Linked DNA regions of Caenorhabditis elegans. The protein of the gene in region 1 interacts with the protein of each later gene in a biochemical or structural test. Each region holds a gene or a part of one and is shown in the gene's direction. Other genes may lie near its edges. The genes, in order: wsp-1, arx-4, arx-7 and arx-5.

What was found.
Region 2: the proteins of wsp-1 (region 1) and arx-4 form a complex in vitro, tested with the Caenorhabditis elegans proteins (one study listed by BioGRID).
Region 3: the proteins of wsp-1 (region 1) and arx-7 form a complex in vitro, tested with the Caenorhabditis elegans proteins (one study listed by BioGRID).
Region 4: the proteins of wsp-1 (region 1) and arx-5 form a complex in vitro, tested with the Caenorhabditis elegans proteins (one study listed by BioGRID).

What each region holds. Positions count from the first base shown.
Region 1 is NC_003282.8:8,188,370-8,195,209, reverse strand, and holds wsp-1 (CRIB domain-containing protein), read left to right. Parts: upstream 1-2,014; 5' UTR 2,015-2,057; coding exon 2,058-3,117; intron 3,118-3,692; coding exon 3,693-3,839; intron 3,840-4,076; coding exon 4,077-4,185; intron 4,186-4,233; coding exon 4,234-4,503; intron 4,504-4,956; coding exon 4,957-5,152; intron 5,153-5,200; coding exon 5,201-5,464; intron 5,465-5,509; coding exon 5,510-5,632; intron 5,633-5,687; coding exon 5,688-5,864; 3' UTR 5,865-6,306; downstream 6,307-6,840. Other genes in the region: pct-1 (Cyclin-dependent kinase 17), read right to left, coding at 6,775-6,840.
Region 2 is NC_003281.10:860,616-865,928, forward strand, and holds arx-4 (putative actin-related protein 2/3 complex subunit 2), read left to right. Parts: upstream 1-1,690; 5' UTR 1,691-1,694; coding exon 1,695-1,768; intron 1,769-2,182; coding exon 2,183-2,276; intron 2,277-2,323; coding exon 2,324-2,377; intron 2,378-2,427; coding exon 2,428-2,663; intron 2,664-4,199; coding exon 4,200-4,647; 3' UTR 4,648-4,781; downstream 4,782-5,313. Other genes in the region: exos-4.2 (Exoribonuclease phosphorolytic domain-containing protein), read left to right, coding at 24-549. UniProt on the Caenorhabditis elegans protein: Functions as actin-binding component of the Arp2/3 complex which is involved in regulation of actin polymerization and together with an activating nucleation-promoting factor (NPF) mediates the formation of branched actin networks.
Region 3 is NC_003279.8:3,068,821-3,071,789, reverse strand, and holds arx-7 (Actin-related protein 2/3 complex subunit 5), read left to right. Parts: upstream 1-1,639; 5' UTR 1,640-1,649; coding exon 1,650-1,734; intron 1,735-1,818; coding exon 1,819-1,940; intron 1,941-2,042; coding exon 2,043-2,294; 3' UTR 2,295-2,465; downstream 2,466-2,969. Other genes in the region: pign-1 (GPI ethanolamine phosphate transferase 1), read right to left, coding at 2,540-2,761.
Region 4 is NC_003281.10:12,816,249-12,819,788, reverse strand, and holds arx-5 (putative actin-related protein 2/3 complex subunit 3), read left to right. Parts: upstream 1-1,688; 5' UTR 1,689-1,692; coding exon 1,693-1,801; intron 1,802-1,857; coding exon 1,858-1,931; intron 1,932-1,976; coding exon 1,977-2,051; intron 2,052-2,569; coding exon 2,570-2,863; 3' UTR 2,864-3,000; downstream 3,001-3,540. Other genes in the region: Y37D8A.25 (PH domain-containing protein), read left to right, coding at 595-776, 909-1,065; BE10.4 (DUF148 domain-containing protein), read right to left, coding at 3,079-3,216. UniProt on the Caenorhabditis elegans protein: Functions as a component of the Arp2/3 complex which is involved in regulation of actin polymerization and together with an activating nucleation-promoting factor (NPF) mediates the formation of branched actin networks.

The sequences.
Region 1 (6,840 bases):
TTTCTTCGAAAATTGTTCGACGTTTGTTGGTCTTATTTTTGATCTCGATCGTATTATTCTATTCTATTATTCTGGAGCGGTAATTTTTTGAAATGACCAATCCATTGAAATTAATACAAATTGTCATTTACTATAATAGATAATCGGAAAAAAAAGTTGAAATTGAAACTTATTAAAACGTACCTGATATCTCGGAATGGTCTTACTGTAGTCTACTGTATTCCTAACTTACAATACGATATGTCATTATGTGTCACTTGATTCGAAGTTATATTGCTTACAATCTATAAAATTCTATTTGAAAAAATAGAAATTTGTTCTGACCTATCATGAATCTCAGTTTTGTGTTCCTCTAAAGCATGAGCCACTTTCAATCGACGCATGTGAAAAGCGGGCCACTTGAAAGAGCAAGGAGTAGGACAAGACGAGTACAGGATTCAATGGAGATCTACGTGATCTTACCCGTGCCTTGTGCTCTACAATGTTCAATCTGAACAAAGAACGAGCACTGGTTCAATTATAAGGTTTTCATACTTTTTATTTTCTTCTCTTTTTTACAATAGTGCTTCAAGTCTCCATCTCTTCTTCTGCAGCAATCCTATGCGGTTGTATTATGTTCATGCATTAATTTTTGAGAAGTCGACACTTGAGAGGAAGTTATAATTAGGTTTTCGTATATAGTTTTGTATTTGGCGCAGGTTATTTTTGAAACATAGTATATCTTTAAAATCTGTTAACAGAACACAAGCAGATGTGAAAAAAGTGTAGAAATTATTTAATAATAAGTGAAACTGGCTGTTCCTTCCGTTTTCCGAATGTCATTATTGACGTCTAGAGGTGTAGCTGTTCCTACGTGTTGTTGTTAGCGGGTGTGACAGTAGTCAAACGATGATTGAATAATTTTTGTGTTGAAGTACACGCTTTCAAACAAAAAAGTAAAATCTTAGTTTTTTCAGTCTTACCGCTGTTTTAAATTTGAAGGATCACCCTTAAGAACGGTGTCTCGTTTACTATAAAAGTACTGTAAACTCAAGAAAAAAATTACGATACTTCTTACAAAGTATTTCTGGTAGCCACACATTGACACCTAAGTCACAAACTAATAGAAACATTATCTTATTATTTCTCAGTTTTTTAATGTTTAACTATATTGAGACTCTCTCCGTTAGAGGTTCAGGGCAGCACATACACACATACACATACTCATCGGTGTTGACTCCGCCTAACTCTCGTGAGAAGAGAAGTGCTTCAGTTCACCTCCCCACAGTTTTCGCCCCATCATTTCGGTCACTTTTACTATTCATTTCTTACATGGAAAATTTTTGGAATATGTAAAAAATATCATTTTTTGAATAGAAATAGATAGTTGTTAGGAATTCAATTAATATTTACATCTGTTTCCTCTGTCAATATGCACATCTCACTGCCGCCAAACTGTGGTAGTGTGTTGTGTAATTTGATTCCGAATCGAAACGATTGGGCGAGAGAGAAAATTAGAGGGAGAGAAGCCGAACGGTGTGAAGAGGCGAAACGGTATACAATAATGATGTGTATTATGACGGTTTTCATTTCGTTCTGTTTCTATGATTCTCTGAATATCCGTTCGAATCACTAAGTGCTTGTACGCCAATCAGAAAGTCATGGCAATTTAAAAGATTTAGAAATGCAAACGTTTTTTTTTCCAAATTCACTTTTCATCAGACTTCAGCAAGATTTTTTGAAGAATAGGATGTTACAAATTATGCTTGCGTAAATATGCAACATTTTTTGGAATGCCCATTTTCGAAGTCAACTAGAGGTATAATTTGGAACCCTTATATACATCTCTCCTTTCAATTGTTTCACACATCACTCGGATATCTCAAGTGAATTTGTTCCATTCCTTCATTTTATGACCTGAAAATTCCGATTCTCACAGCTTTCGATTCCATAAACGTCACCTTTCGACATTTCCCATATACTCTTTTTTCTCTCGCTTTCATCTCCATAATTTGCGACGATCTTTTTCGCCTTCTTTCAGAAGTATCAGAAGTAGTAGCCATTCGAAGAATAATAACATGTGGATGGTGGTAAGCGAGGATCCGGCCGGCCGCCTCCGCTATCAGTACCACAACCTGCCGGTCGCTCAATCGTTTCCTCCTCCTTCCCACCCTCCGCCACCGTCTGCGACAACCAATCCGTCGTCCAATAAACCGTCAACCGTTTCGTCGGCGGCTCAAATTTATTCGTCCTTTCCATCCTCCACTTCCTCTTCCGGTACTGGCGGTCATCTTCACCATAACCATATGCAACGTTTTGCACGTGGAGGATGCTCTAGCTTCCCTGATTCTATGGGATCCTCACCTCGTACTACCCATCGGAGTCATACTCTACCAAATGGAGGATATTATGAAATGGAACAATATGACAATGTAAATGATTATTCGACTTATGGAGGTCCTGATTCCACGTCAAGCTCAACAAGCTCATCTGCAGAATACCAAGATCCAGTATATTCAACAAGGTATGGAGGATCCACAGGTACATATGCAAGGCGTCAGAACTATGCAAGATGTTATGTTCCAATATCTGCTGATGCATTCTATTACTATCACAATCAACAAAAGCAACTACAACAGCAACATCATCAGCAGCAACAACAGCAGCTAGCATTCCGACCTCGTCATCGATCATCACATCATCATCAAGAACCTCGTCGACATAGAGCTCCGAGTCCTGATCCAGACTATTCACCCCCACTTTCTCGAAATAAGGTACGATTTCATATCCCAGAAGAACCAGTATCTCGTGGTGACTATGTGAGTTCTCGACACGTATTCAATACGGATGACTTCGGTGACGAAGACGACGATTATGAATCAGTATCGATGAATCCTGATCCTGCACCTCATTCTGATTCCGTATTAGTTCATCGATCAAATGGTCAAGTATCTGTTATGGTCACAAAGAAAGAAGAACCTATCTACTGTTCTGGAGGAAGTGATAGTAGTACAGAGAGTAGCAGTGCAACACCATCATCTGTAGAAGCAGATACTCCACCACCAATTCCATCTCATCCACCTGCAAGGCATCGATTAGTGAAGAAAAGTTCTAGTTCGACATCAATTTCGCTTAATGGTTTGTTTTACAGACTTTAAATATTCTGATGTCTGAATCTTCACCTCATCATTTTTACTCTTCTACAATAGTTTCTAAAACCTTTTAAAATCTCCCAAAAATTACACAGCTTGTGAAGCTTGAAAATTTAAAAACGAATTTAGTTTTTCGAAACTTCTAAAAGTATAGGAAGTGTCAACAAGTTGAACTCATGATGTGTATTTGCACTTTATCATAATATTTTTGTTTACTTGATCACTATCTTTCCATATTATCGTTTTTTCTTTGAGTTGATCAATTTGATAGACAGAATCTGGTTCTATAAGAGTTTTTCACACAAATTTGGAAAGCAAACATCCAACCCAGGATGGCGAGAAATTCGGACCGATTATTTGTGTTCATGTCATGTTATGAGCACCGCCGACCGAGTACTTGATCGGCTTCAAGCGCTCAGAGCACATGAACATCATTGTTGAGCAGAAATGCTGGAGAATAGAGAAAGATGATTTTTAACTGATTGGGTGATCGAATTGAAATGAAAAAGAACAGAGCACTTGACAGTGAGAACTTCTATATTTAATAATTTATTATTTCAGGAATCGGATCCACTCCAACACGACAATTCGAAATCACACAGGCTTATGGAGGAACAATTCGAGGACCTCCAATGGCAATTGGCGGAGGTCAAGGGATAACACAAATGGGAACTATGGCTGCTGCACCACAATCACATACACATACAGGTGAATATTTTTTTGGAAATTGAAAAATGATGTTCTCGTAGTCAGTAATTGAATTTCTGAATAAAATTACGTAAACTTAAAAAAAATCACATTTTATATCTCATTTCTTATGCATACTTTGCAAAATTTGCTCATATTTTAATGATTAATAAATTGAAAAGATTGTTACATAAATTTGGTGAGAAATCTCTTCAAAAAATAACATTAATTTTAATTAAATATTTTCAATATTTACAGATGGAAATGCTAGCAGTAGTGGATCATGGTTCCGGAAAGATAAAAACAAAAAGAAGGATAAAAAATCGAAAATTAAGAAAGAGGATATTTCTAATCCAACAAACTTTCAGTGAGATTTATTCCGTTTTAATGGTTTAAATTAAACTAAATATTTCAGACATAAAGCTCATGTTGGATGGAATCAGGATAGTGGATTCTCGAATACAGTTTACGACGATGATATGGATGAAGCTACTAAAAATATTCTAAAGGCTGCTGGATTGGAAAGCAATAATCTGAATGAGGATGATAAGAAATTCGTGAAAAAATTCATTGCCAAGAACTATGATAAATATGTATCTGTTGGAAGTTTGGATCCATCACAAATCTCATCACCTCTTCCACCACCAATTCAGCAACATCCACAGATGAATCAGTCATGGAATCAGTTAGTTTTTTTGTTTTCATTTCGGAAAAAAATAACTCCAAACCAGAAAAAATAAATTTAATTATGGTCCGACATCTACTGGGTTTCGCCCCTGTGAAGATACATGCATATGCGCTGTGTGAGTCGAAACCCGGTAGATGTCGGACCATGAAAAAGAGTAATGGCAACGCAATCCCAATTATTCTCCCCCGAAATGCTTTCGATGTAGTTTTTTTTCCGCAAACTTACAAAAAAAGTTAAAAGTAATATGTTTCTGTTACAGTTAACCCTTGAATATATTTTACGACTACTGTTTTTTGTAGCTGAGAACCAGAAATATTATGAAATATTTAATATAAATACTAGAAATATTAGAAATGAAATTAGTGTTGCATTTGGTGAGGGCGTATTTCAGCCATATTAGAAATACGATAACAAAAAAGTTTTATTTTTAAATGAAAAAAAAATTTTCAGAACACCAGTGCGTCAATACAAACCATCATTCCCATCATCTGCTCCGATTGGAAGCGGTGCTTCATCATATTCCACACCTGCCGCTCCTCCACCTCCAACACGTGTCGAATCTCATGGATTGGCTCCAGCTCGTCCACCTCCTCCACCACCGTCATCTGGTACCCGTGGAATTGCACCATCAAGACCTTTACCTCAAGTAAGTAACCGGAGAGTGATTTTCTGAAAAAAATTAATTTATATTCAGGCGCCCAACTATGGAACCCCAGAGAATCGACCACATGCGGTTCCACCACCTCCACCCCCTCCACCACCACAATCATTTGGAATGGCTCCGATATCATCCGCAGCTCCTCCACCACCACCTCCTCCACCACCGATGGGATTGCCAGCAGTAGGAGCAGGAGCTCCACCCCCTCCACCTCCACCACCACCTTCAGGAGCCGGAGGACCTGCATCGGTGCTCGCAAAACTACCACCTGCTCAGGATGGAAGATCGAATTTGCTAGCGGTTAGTATACTTTTAAAAATGTTCACTATTGAATTTTGTATTCAGGAAATCCAAGCTGGAAAACAACTTCGATCCGTTCAACAAACTGCAGATTCACCAAAATCGGCTGGTGGTGATGCTCGTGGAGATGTGATGGCCCAAATTCGACAAGGAGCACAATTAAAACATGTAAGACAATTTTTAACCGAAAATTACTATTGATTCCAATTTTTTTAAACTTTAGGTGGATGCAGCTGCTGAGCAAGAACGTCGAAAGAGTACGACTTCTGGAGCCGCTGGAATGGGAGGATTGGCTGGAGCACTAGCAAAGGCTCTTGAGGAACGTCGAATGAATATGGGAATAGATGATACTAGTGATGATGATGACGATGAAGATGACAAAAATGAATGGTCAGATTAGACTAAATTATCTCATTAAACTTGTTTTCCTTCCATTTTTCGTTTCCTTTTTCTGTGCAAATCCCGTGTGAAACAGGGTAATTTTAGTCCCTCAAGTACAATTCTTGATTTGAAAAATTACAGAATCGTCAATTTCCAAGATAAATTATCATACATTTTGAAAGTGACGAATTTGTAAAACTTGTGCATTTAGTTTTTTTTTTTCTCCAAATCAGTGCCTATTCCGTGTGAATTTCTCTTCGTAAGCCCCCTTCCACACACCCGAAATACCAACAAACTTTTAAAACTCAACCAGTCTTCTTGTTTTTCTCCCGTAGATTTTTCTGTGATGCTCCCCTCTCATCCAAAACCATTGTCCCTTTTTAGACTTACAGCAGAAACGCTCATAATTTTTTTGCATATTATCATTTTTCTGGGTATCCACATAAATAATTTTTGTTTCCAATTCGATGAGAAGTAGAAGCTTTCCGGGTAGAGCTTGTTTATTCACAGGTGTACAATAAGAATAACGGCTAAAATAAATAGCAAAAAAAATGGTTCTGTGTGCTTTTTGGGAACAAATTGAGATTATGAGATGATTTTTTGTAGATTTTTGTGTGATTTATGAACAGAAAATGTAAATTTGAAAATCGCTATTACTGGTTACGGGAAACAACGGGAAAAATTCTAAGAAGAATGATGGAGTCTCGGGATATGAAGAGAAAATATTACACAATAAATTATTAGGAAACATGTTTCATAAACATCTTGATCTATAAGTGACCGCATTGGAAGGACATTTTGGTTGGGAGGAAACGAATCGGAATTGGTTGACAAGAACCCGTAAAAGTGCAACACAATCTGAGATGAAATGGGGAAAAAAGAAACAAATTTAATTCTAAATATGTTTTTTTTTGTTGAGAAAATTATTTCTAAGTGTGATGACTCGAATGCATTCGATATTTATCTTTTACAAGAGTTCCACGATGATGACGACG
Region 2 (5,313 bases), on another chromosome or scaffold:
CCATATAAACTAAAAATTTTCAGCACAGGACCTGATGGTGACGGAAAATGGGAAGAGGATCGTGCTAAGATCACAATCGAACTGAAAGGAATTGAAGATTCGGTAAAAGTCGCAGAATATCGTGCTCAACTGGCGTCTGCAGTATCTGCTGTGATTTTCGCGAGCAAATATCCTGGAAAAGTGATCGAAATCGAGATAACCGTTCTTTCGGATGATGGTGGTGTTCTTTCAACTGCACTTTCAGCTGTCACACTAGCCATTTCTCATTCTGGAATTGAAAATATGGGATTAATGGCCAGTGTTCATGTGGCAATGAATTCTGATGGAGAATGCTTGACGGATCCATCAACTTCCGAATCCGAAGGAGCCATCGGTGGCGTCACATTCGCTTTCGTTCCGAATCTTGGCCAAACAACGTGTGTGGACATTTACGGACGAATCCCTCTCAAATCCACGTCATCACTTTTGGAATTTGCGAAGCAAAGAGCGTGTGCTCTGGTTCCGACGATTCATAAGGCAATTGTGAACAGTGTGCGAGAGAGAAAATAAATGTGTTGACAATTTTTAAATTTATCTCTCATTCCGAATATCTAATTTAGAAAAAAAAGTTTTTGCCCGATTATTTGAAAATACATTTTTCCGTCTAAATTGAACATTAAATAGAAATATAAAATTGAATTCGACAAAATTTTTTTTGAAAATATTTTTTAGTTCGTGATTTCAAGCTGAAATATAAAAAAACAGATATTCAAAATATCATGCTCAAAAAAAATATGGAAAAAAGAAATATCTTCGTTTGCATTAAATTTTTTTCGAATTCTTGAAAATTTTTTTCGAATTCTTGAGAATGAGAATTTGAAAAAAAAAATCTCAAGCGAAAATATTGAACATTTCCATATTTTTGAGCATGATATTTTGAATATCGGTTTTTTTTTATTTTAGCTCGAAATCACGAATTTCAAAAATTTGTCAAAATTAACATTACCGAATTCACAAGTTTAAAAAGGATTAAAAATTAACATTACCGAATTCACAAGTTTAAAAAGGATTAAACTTGTGAATTCGGTAAAGTTAATTTTGACAAATTTTTGAAATTCGTGATTTCGAGCTAAAATATAAAAAAAAACCGATATTCAAAATATCATGCTCGAAAATATGGAAATGTTCAATATTTTCGCTTGAGATTTTTTTTTCAAATTCTCAAGAATTCGAAAAAAAAATTTTTATTTTTAAAACGCTCAATTTAGACGGGAAAATGTATTTTTCAAAATCGGACGAAAACTTCTTTTTTTTCTAAATTAGATATTCGCCGATACATTTTCTAAAAATTCAATTAATTATCCCCGATTTCACTTCAAATGCACCCCCTTCCATCTTTAATGAATGGGAGGAAAGAGCGCTCCACTGCACACAGATTCTTTGAGTAAATATAATACTGTTTAGTCACCTTCCCTTTTGCCTTCTCCGTCGTTTCTTTCTCATTTCTTTCTTGTTGATTTTGTTGTTGTTTCCCTTTTCATTTTGTTCAACCGTCGTGGTTTTCACAGTTTTCCTTCATTTTAAATACAATGAATTCAGAATTCTCTATGCATTTAATACCCTTCTTATTCCGTCGCTGGTCGCGGTTTTGTATTTTAATTCCTTTTTAATTGTTTTTGTACATTTCTCTCTCTATTTTCTACACTTTCAGAAAAATGATCATTTTGGAGCAAAACAACCGAATTATCGTGGAACTTCTCGAGCAAAAATTTGCAAACGCGAAGGAAGGGTTGGTTTTTTTTTGAATTTTAAACGTATTTTTGTAATTTTGAAAGAAAACATAACTGCATAATTTTCCTTTATTTTTAAATTAAAAACATTACCTTTCCGAAATTATTACGGAAATTTCGTTATTTTTTCAAACGTTTGTTGAAAACAATACCAAGAAAAAGTAAACTTGTGTGCGGTTTTCCCGTAGATATAGGTCTCGCCACGAATTTAGCATTTTCAGGCTTTAAAAAGTGTATGTTTTTATAAAGAGTATAGTAATTTCTCCATGGTTCTTCAACTGAAGTGCCAGAGAAACAACGATGTGTGTGAGAGTAATGTACTTTTTGAAGGCACATAGCGTTAAATTGAAAATGATTTGATCGTGGCGAGACCTTAATATATTGTTACTCTCACTAATAATCACCTTTTTCAGTGGAAAACCAGAGTCGGTCAACGTGACATTCGCCGATTTTGACGGAGTTCTCTACAAACTTTCGAATCCAGATGGCGATAGAACCAAGATAATTGTTAGAAACTTTTTCACAGTCTAATAATTTTTAAAACTAATTTTCAGCTGAGCATCTCGCTAAAATTCTACACGGAACTGCAGCAACACGGAGCGGATGATGTATGTCGCCGCTTTTTTCTGATGAATATTTGATTTTCCAAAATTTCCAGCTCCTTCGTCGTGTGTACGGTGGTCATATGCGTTCAACTCCGGAACAAGGATTTAATGTCACTCTGGAATACAATTTGGCCGATCTTCCGGCAGATACAACGGATTTGGTGCAGGCAGCTTCTGCTTTGAAGAGAAATTGTTTTGCTTCAGTCTTTGAAAAGTATTTCGAATTCCAAGAGGCCGGCCAGGAGGGGCATAAGAGAGCTGTTATTAATTATAGAGATGATGAGACAATGTGAGTACCGGTTGTGTTATGGCGTTATTCGAGAAGTGTCGAAAAATTTAAAAGTGTAGAAAAACTACGCCACAACTGTTTTAAAATACATAAAAACATGTATTTTAATACAGTTGTGGCGTCATAAATGTTTTTGAACACATTTTGCAAAATTACTTGATTAACCCCATTAAACGAGGAAAGTTGAAAAATGTTCAATATTATAAAGATTTGTTCAATTAAAATAATTTCACAGAGAAAGGCTGAAAAGTGGCGTTTTTATTCCAGTTTTCGTGGATTTTCAGAGAATTTGATTTATTATTTAACTATCAAAAGATATAAAAATTTTCGATTTTTTCATATTTCGAAAAAATTCCAAGTTTGCCGGAATTTTTCAATTCCTGCACTTTGCCGTTTTGCCGGTTTTCCGCCCACCCCTGAATCGACTCTCTACAATTTTTCAAATAAATAATTTATTATTAGGTCTCCAAATAAGTTCCGGGTCAAAAATCATAACTTTGTTCGCTGCGAATCGATTTTTATGAAATTGTGGGAATTTATGTTATCAACCATGATCTTTCATTTGACAATAGTCACAAAATTTTTTGGCCGTCCGAAGTGCCCGTACTCATAGCCAATTTTTTCAGGCATTTTTCAGATCTCGCTTCTTTTCAGGTTTCAACTAAGGTTTGTGTGCGGATATTGCTTAGTTTAGTACACAATGTAAGAGAACAAGAAAAGTTTGAAAAAAATCCGTCCAAAAAAATTTTTTTGTCGATCGTCAAAAAATCTTCAAAAAATTTTTTGTCGAAAATTCTTAATTTTTCATACAAAAATGATGTAACCATGTGCAAACTATTTTTACACATACAAAAAATTTCAATTTAGTGCGTCTCACTAAAAAAAAATAACAAAAAACACAGCTTTTTCGAACTATTTTCGAGTTTTTGGAGTATTTCTCAAGATCCAAATTTCATACTCAAATGTTTTGTATGTGTAAAAATAGTTTGCACATGGTTACATCATTTTTGTATAAAAATTCAAGAATTTTCGACAAAAATTTTTTTGTAGATTTTTTGACGAGCGACAAAAAAAATTTTTTTGGACGGATTTTTTTTCAAACTTTTCTTGTTTTCTTACATTGTGTACTTAATTAAGCAATATCCGCACACAAACCTCAGTTGAAACCTGAAAAGAAGCGAGATCTGAAAATGCCTGAAAAAATTGGCTCCGAGTACGGACACTTCGGACGGCCAAAAAATTTTGTGACTATTGTCAAATGAAAGATCATGGTTGATAACATAAATTCCCAAAGTTTCATAAAAATCGATTCGCAGCGAACAAAGTTATGATTTTTGACCCGGAACTTATTTGGAGATCTAATAATAATCACAAATTTGCCATTTTCTCTGAAAAATAGTAAGAATTAATAAAAAAGTGTTTTTCACTTTTTCAATACGCACAAATTTCTTATTTTTTGAACAAAAAATTCTGAAAAACAGTACTTTTTAATTGTAATACTGCAAATAATATACTTTAAACCCCAATGATTTTCAGGTACATTGAAGCGAAAGCGGATCGTGTGACCGTAATCTTCAGTACAGTTTTCAAGGACGCTGACGATGTGATAATCGGAAAAGTGTTCCTTCAAGAATTCCGTGAAGGCCGAAAAGCCAGTCAAACTGCTCCAGCAGTACTCTACTCACTCGGTGAACCACCTTTGGAGCTTAAAGATCTTCCAGAAGCCCGTGTTGGAGACAATGTTGGATACATTACATTTGTGTTGTTCCCACGTCACACAAATAAGAAGACAAAAGACAATACGATTGATTTGATTCATTCGTTCCGTGACTATCTTCATTATCATATCAAATGTTCCAAAGTCTACCTTCACACCAGAATGCGTGCCAAGACCACTGATTTCTTGAAGGTTCTCAATCGGGCACGTCCAGAGGTCAAAGGAGAAAAGAAGACGTTCCATGGAAGAACTTTTCAGACCCAATAAATGTACAAATTATCACAATTGTTACCAAATATTTTTTTTCTGTTTTCGCTTTAAAACCTTATTTATTGCTTTGATTGTAAAATGTTCTTATGAGGTTCGTGAAATTTTGATATGAAATGAATTATTGCAGTAAAATGGAGAGCGATAGTTAAGGCACAATTTGTGGAATGATATCAATTACTATCCGATTTCAAAGAAGAAAAACATGGACGGGCTGAAAATGCATAGGGATCGGAGGAGAGAGAGGAGAACAGGTATTCAGGTAGACCCTAGTAGTTTGACCTACGAAACTTGCGGGAATGGTGTTTACGCGTCATGGCAAACAACGAGGAGTCCACCTGAACACATGTAATGTAATAATGAAGAAATCTCCTAAAAATCATAAAAATTTTCAAATATTATCATTTGGAGCAATTTTACGGGCCTCTAAAGTAGTGAAAAAAAAAACACTATTCAGCTCGATTTTTATCCAGTTCAAAGTGTTTTTTTGCCGGCCTATTTAGGAGGTACTCTTTTAACATAGATTTCATCCAGAAGTCGGGGTTAACTTGAAATACTTCCCTTGTTCTCTCACATGATCTAAAATACTCATTCACATCTTTTAGTTGTCCTGCAAATACGCTTCACATTTTTTTTCTTCAATTTTTTGCAATTCATGTATGCTGA
Region 3 (2,969 bases), on another chromosome or scaffold:
AGAAAATTTACCATAAAATATGATTTTTTATCTAATTTTGTTTATATTGGTAAGAAAAAACATTAAAATTTCTTCTAAAAAGAAGGATAATGGCCAAAATATTAAGCGAATTTTTTTCGAAAATCGGAAAATCGAAAAATCGAAAAACTAACATTTTCGATTTTTTGAAAAAAAAATCGAAAAACTGACACCCTTGATCAGGAGCATAAATAGGGTCTATAAAAAATAAAATTAAATATTTTAATCCAATCTCAATAATTTCCAGATCTTGCCCCATCCAAAAGTGCATTTCGACAGTTTTTGTTCCAGTCTCAATTCAGCCGCCTTCATGTCAACTCGCTTTATTCTCCATTGAAATCCTCTTCCTCACCCACCTCCTGTACACTATTCTGTACTCTCTCTCTCTCTTTCCATTTCCCCAATTATCTTGAATATGCTCGTATTATATCGCATCCATGTAAAATAGATAACTATTGCTCATCATCTTTTCCCCATGTTTTTTTTGGTGTATTTGCTCTTCTGTTTTGTTCTGGTTTTGGATTTTTTTAATTCAAAAAATTCGATTTTTTCTTCTCGGGAAAGGTGAGTTTTCTAGTTTAAAGCCCTTCCCAATCAGAGAATAATCTATTTCTTCTGCTCCCCCATACGGTTCTTTATCGCAAAAAGAACAGTTTTTCTCGGAGATCGGTCCTCTTCTTGAACGGTCTTGAAGGGCCGTTTTAGTCTCATCTCAACCTTCCAAGAAGGGTACGGAGCTTTTTTTCAAATTTTTATTATATATGACTATGGAAAAAGTGCATAAATCGTTCTGTTCACCAAATCTACTCTTTATTGAAAAAAAACACACACAATTTAGCAGATTTTCAGCGGGTTTTCTCACAAAATTGAGGCTTTTTCGTGTTTTTGGCGATAAAAATTGTCGCTTTTAACCGGAAAAGTTGTAAAAAACGCACACATTTTTCAAGAAAAAACTTAGAATTTTTGCCAACTAATGTAATTTTTAAAATTTCCTCTGAAAAATTCAAAATTCCAGCTTCAAAAATTGGAAATTTAAAGTTTTCGCTCGGAAAATTAACAGTTTTGTAAAATTTTCAAATTTTTTAGCTCCAAAATATGGGGATTTACTAAAAAATTGATGTATTTGTTTCAAAAATTGGAAATTTGGAAAAATTCGAAAAAACCCCAATTTTTGAAGGTTTTGCTTGAAAATCATAGAAATTAATTTCAGGAGCTTCTAGAAATAATGGCATCCAAGAATAAATAGCGTTTATTTGGTACGAATATTCCCAAAACGCTGTTTCTCGCCAATTTTTCAGAGTTTTCGACGAAAATGGCGATAAAAGTCCCAAAATGGAGGAGTTTTCGATAAAATTAAATGAATCTAATCCCGAATAATTGTTTCTCACTTTTTTTCAAAAGGAAAATTCACATTAAAACACTCTTTTTTTCGAGATATTTATTAATTTTAATAAAACCAAAAAAAAAAAAAAAAAATTAACTACGAAGCTCCGTAATTCCGCATGCGCGTGTTGTTTAGTGCCACTGTGTACTCTTCTCGGACAAGCTAACCGATTTATTTTTCTTTCGCAATTTTCAAATCCACCGCGCCACATTTTCATTTAAAAATCTCTTGTTTCAGATAGGAAAAAATGTCGAAAAACATGCAAAACACCTCGTACCGAAAGCTGGATGTGGACTCTTTCGACCCGGAACAGTACGATGAGAATGACGAGAGTGAGTCATTTGTGTACTTAAGGCGCGCGGAAATTATTGATTTTTCGTGTGCATTTGAATAAATAATTTGTTATTTAATTTTAGCAGTCGATACTCCTGGACTTGGACCCGATGAGCGCGCGGTTCAGGGATTTTTGAGCTCGAATCGGCTTGAGGATGCTCTTCATGCGGCTCTTCTCTCCCCGCCACTTAAAACCAAAGATCAGGTGAGATTTAATAAGCTTATTTGGGCTTAGGCATAGGCCTAGGCCTAGGTTTTGGCTTAAGCTGGCCAGGGAAGAGACAGAAAGAAAAATTTTCAATTTCAGAACGTAAAAGACCGCGCCACACAGCTCGTCACAAAAGTTCTGCAATCCTTCAAAAACGCGGAAATCGAGGCGACTGTCCAGAAGCTTTCGATAGAAGAAAGTGATATTCTCATGAAATACGTCTACAAATCAATGGAAATCGGCGCCGACGCGGCCGTCTGTCAGTCTTTGCTCGCGTGGCACGCTCAACTCGTCGCAAAATTCGGTCACGGAGCCATTATGCGTGTCTTCTCCGGTCGCCAACGTCTCTGATTTATTCCCGAATCGTTGTGTTTGCTGTGATATTCATTCCCCCATCGCTCTCCACATGTTTCTTGTGAATTTTGAATATTTTTTGTTTCGCCTTAAGCTTTATGATGATATTTATTTTAATTCTTTCTGATATTCGAAAAAGTTTTTGAAAGATAAATTAAAGCACCACGGAATAGTATCTATCACACGATTGAAAATGGCATCACGAATTGAAAAATAACAATTAAAAATCTGAAAAAAATTATTTAAGCAGATTCGTCGTCGGATAACTTCCGGGAAGAGATCGATTCGATTTCCTGGTGATTTCTTTTTCCAGGAAATTTTCGGAATTCAAATGCCATAAGATGACTGGAAATCGAGAGAAGTAGCAGAAGAGCAAGAGAAATGCACATTGAAACGATGAATTGAGAAATGCTCATACCAATATCCAACCAGCTACCCTCATCTCGAAGTTGGTGGAAGAAACACTGAAAATGCACGGGGTTTTAGGCGGAATTAATCTCAAACAAATTTTTACTGAAAAAATCGGGAATTTTTTTATTCGAAATTAAATATGTTGATTAATTTTGATTAAAATATTCAAGTTTTCCAAAAAAATGTTTCAAATTTACCAAAAAAAAATCTTTCTCGCTTTTTCATCTTTTTATCAAAACAAGTTTTTTTTTCGAAAAAAAA
Region 4 (3,540 bases), on another chromosome or scaffold:
AAAATCCGCCAGGGCCATTATCATTGGAGCGCGCCATGTCGCGTCGATTTACGAGAGATTTTGTTTGCAAATTTCAGTTTTTCAACAAGTTTTCTATATTTTTCGCGTTTTTTTAAGTGAAAATGTGAAATAATTTTATGATTTTTAAAATTTGAAAAAAAAAATTTTTCAACAAAAAAATCAAAGAAACTTGCAAATTTTAGTTTCTTTGATTTTTTTTTTTTGAAATATAATTTATTTCGTGTAAAGTGAACGAAACTTACTGATTTTTCAATTTTTAAAATAATAAAATACCCAAATTTACACGAAAAAACACATTTTAATTTAAAAAAACCGAAGAAAATGAAGAAAACTGGTTTAAAAAACCGAATTTGGCTGCAAAAAAACCCCTCGTAAATCGACATGGCATGGCGCGCTCCAATGAGAATTTTTCTGGCGCGAGTTTGAAAATTGTTTCGCGCTTTCAAGCTGAAATATAAGATTTTTGAAATTTTTTGAATTTTTTTAAAACAAAATATGGGAAATTTGGAGTAATTTGAAAATTTAAAAAATCAAAAAAATGATTTTTTTATTAAAAAAAAAAGTTTTTTTCAGGATTTCCAATGGCGTGCCGGCTGGGGTGTTCTCAAGGCCAATATGCTTTTCGTGTACAATAAAACCGAAGAGGAGACGTCGGCTCCTCCATTTTTACTACTAATTATTGAAGACTGTTTTATCGAATTATGTGATGAGAATAAGATTGGCAAGGATTTCACTTTTGAAATCAAATTCAAATCGTGCGTTTTTTCCGGGTCTCAACACGAAAAATTAATACTAAATTCCAAAAAAAAACTGAATTTTTATCGGTTTTATCGAAAATCGATGAAAAATCGATTGAAAATTCCTAAAATTATCCGATTTTTTTCCAGAACTGCTCGAAGCTTCATCTTCGCCGCCGACTCGTTCAAATCGCTGGGACGTTGGGTTTCGCTGCTCACAATCTCCCCGATCGACTATATACAGCTCTCGAAACAAAGTTTTCATGAGCAAATCGAGCAAACTCAGAAGAAAGCGATGAGGGATTGATTTTTATACATTTTGCACATTTTCACTGTGATATTTTGACTTATTGATTATAAATCATACATTTTTAACGTTTTTTGCTTTGTTTTGCAGCTGGAATTTCCCTGAATTTATCGTTTTTTTCGCAAAAAATCGCGAAATTTCATTAAAAATTTCCAAACGATGCTCCGATATTCCGATGTCGCGCCTTGTTTACCGTAAACTTACACGAGATTATTATTTATTTTTCCGTTCCTGGAGAGAATTTCATCAGAAAAAACGTTTAAAAAGCAGAAAATCTTTGATTTTTTCCAATTTTTCTTAAATATCTGATTATAGGAAACTTGTAAGCTGATATTAATCATATTAATTCCAAGTTTTCATATATTTTAACACGAATTTCCGAATAAAAGTGTATTTTCGGGTTTTACTTTAATTTTCGCGTCCGCAACGACATTATCGCTTCAAAAACTGCATTTTTATCGAATAAAATACTTATATTTTAATTTAAAACTCGAATTTCACAATTTATCGATTTTTTTTCGCAGCCGCAGTGACTCATTATGTACTTACCCCCCCCCCCCCTCGGGTATCCGAAAATAAGCCGTTTTCTATGCATTTTTCCAAACAAAACACTTATTTTTCAGTGAAATGCCGGCATACCACTCAAAATTCGACACTGAACTCAAAGTTTTGCCATTGGGCAACACAAATATGGGAAAACTTCCGATTCGAACCAATTTCAAGGGTCCAGCGCCTCGTAAGTCTTCAAAAATTGATTGAAAAAACCTATATTATATATTAAAATTATTGCAGAAACCAATCAGGATGACATCATCGACGAAGCGCTCACCTACTTCAAGCCGAACATCTTTTTCCGCGAATTTGAGGTTGATTTTCGAGATTTTTCCCTATTAAAATTGAGAAATTTTCAGATCAAAGGTCCCGCGGACCGTACAATGATCTATCTCATCTTCTACATCACCGAGTGCCTCAGAAAATTGCAAAAAGTACGGATTTTGCACGAAAAAAACCTACTTTTTAGATTGAAAAATAAGAAAAAAAGACCCAAACATACCGAATTTCAATGGATATTTTGAACATTCCTACCGAAAACAGATTTTTTTAAGTAGAAAATTTCAAATTCGAAACATTTTCGATTTTCTCTGAAAAAATCCCAAATTCTTTCAATTTTCTCTGAAAAATCCACAAATTTTAAGGTTTTCTCTGAAAAAATCGAATTTTTTTGGTTTTTCCCTGAAAAAAATCTAAAAATTGTTTAATATTCCCTGAAAATTCCAAAATTTTTCTGGTTTTCCCTGAAAAAATCCGAAAATTTTTCGATTTTCACTGAAAAAATCCGAAATTTTTCCGATTTTCTTCGGAGAAATCCAACTTTTTTTTTTCTCAAAATTTTGGAAATTATAAAAAAAAATTCTAGTTACAAAATTCGGTCTTTTCGGGCTATTTTGAGTGAAATAAAGCGTAAAAACATGTTTTTTTTTTGCAAATTTTTTCAAATTTTCAGAGCCCAAACAAGATAGCCGGCCAAAAGGATCTTCACGCCTTGGCTCTCAGTCATTTGCTTCCAATTCCCGGTGAAAATGGATTCCCACTGAACAGCATGTACAAGGCGCCCCAATCGAAACCGGACGAGGACGAAATGCGTGCCTATTTGCAACAAATTCGCCAAGAAATCGGCGCCCGTCTGTGTGATCTCGCGTTCCCGGATCCCCAAGATCGTCCGAGCAAGTGGTGGCTCTGTTTCGCGAGAAGACGATTCATGGACAAGGGGCTCGTTGGACAGGGTGTTAATTTGTGAATTATCGATTAATTATTGTTGTATCTGGCTCAAAATTTTTTCACTTTTCCCATTTTTTTTTCCATGTAATTATATTTATATTGCGTCCAGTTTTACTTTTTGTGCTGCTTTAAAATATTCATTAAAATTCCGATTTCATCATTTTATTACGGTAACGCAACATATTTTGCGCGCGTCAAATATGTTGTGCGCGAAATACGCGAAATCTCTATGCTCTACCGATAATTTGTCTGCTTGGATCCCATCACTGACAACAAAAACGCCACGGTATCGTGTACGACTTCTGGAGCAGTTATCTGGCAACGTGCCAAGTGACTTCGAACCTCTTCGGGAAGTTGGGAGACTGGAAGAGCCTGGAAATTGAGAAAAATTGAAAATTTTAAGATTTTCTCCGAGAAAATTGGAAAATAGTCGAATTTTTTTCAGAAAACCCCAAATATAGGCCTTTTTTATTAGAAAATCGAAAAATTTTCAGGTTTTTTCAAATAAAATCGGGAAAAAAACTATTAATTTCCCGTAATTTTCCAAGATTTCCGTCTTAAAGGCGCACAGATTTGTTCAGATGGGTCTCGGCGCGCAAAAAAGTTTATGGTACTTTTTTTTCTTTTTTCCTGTTAAAAATTGTTTTAAATCAGTTTTTTTGCCGTTTTCCAGTCAGAGAATGAATAAAAATTGAT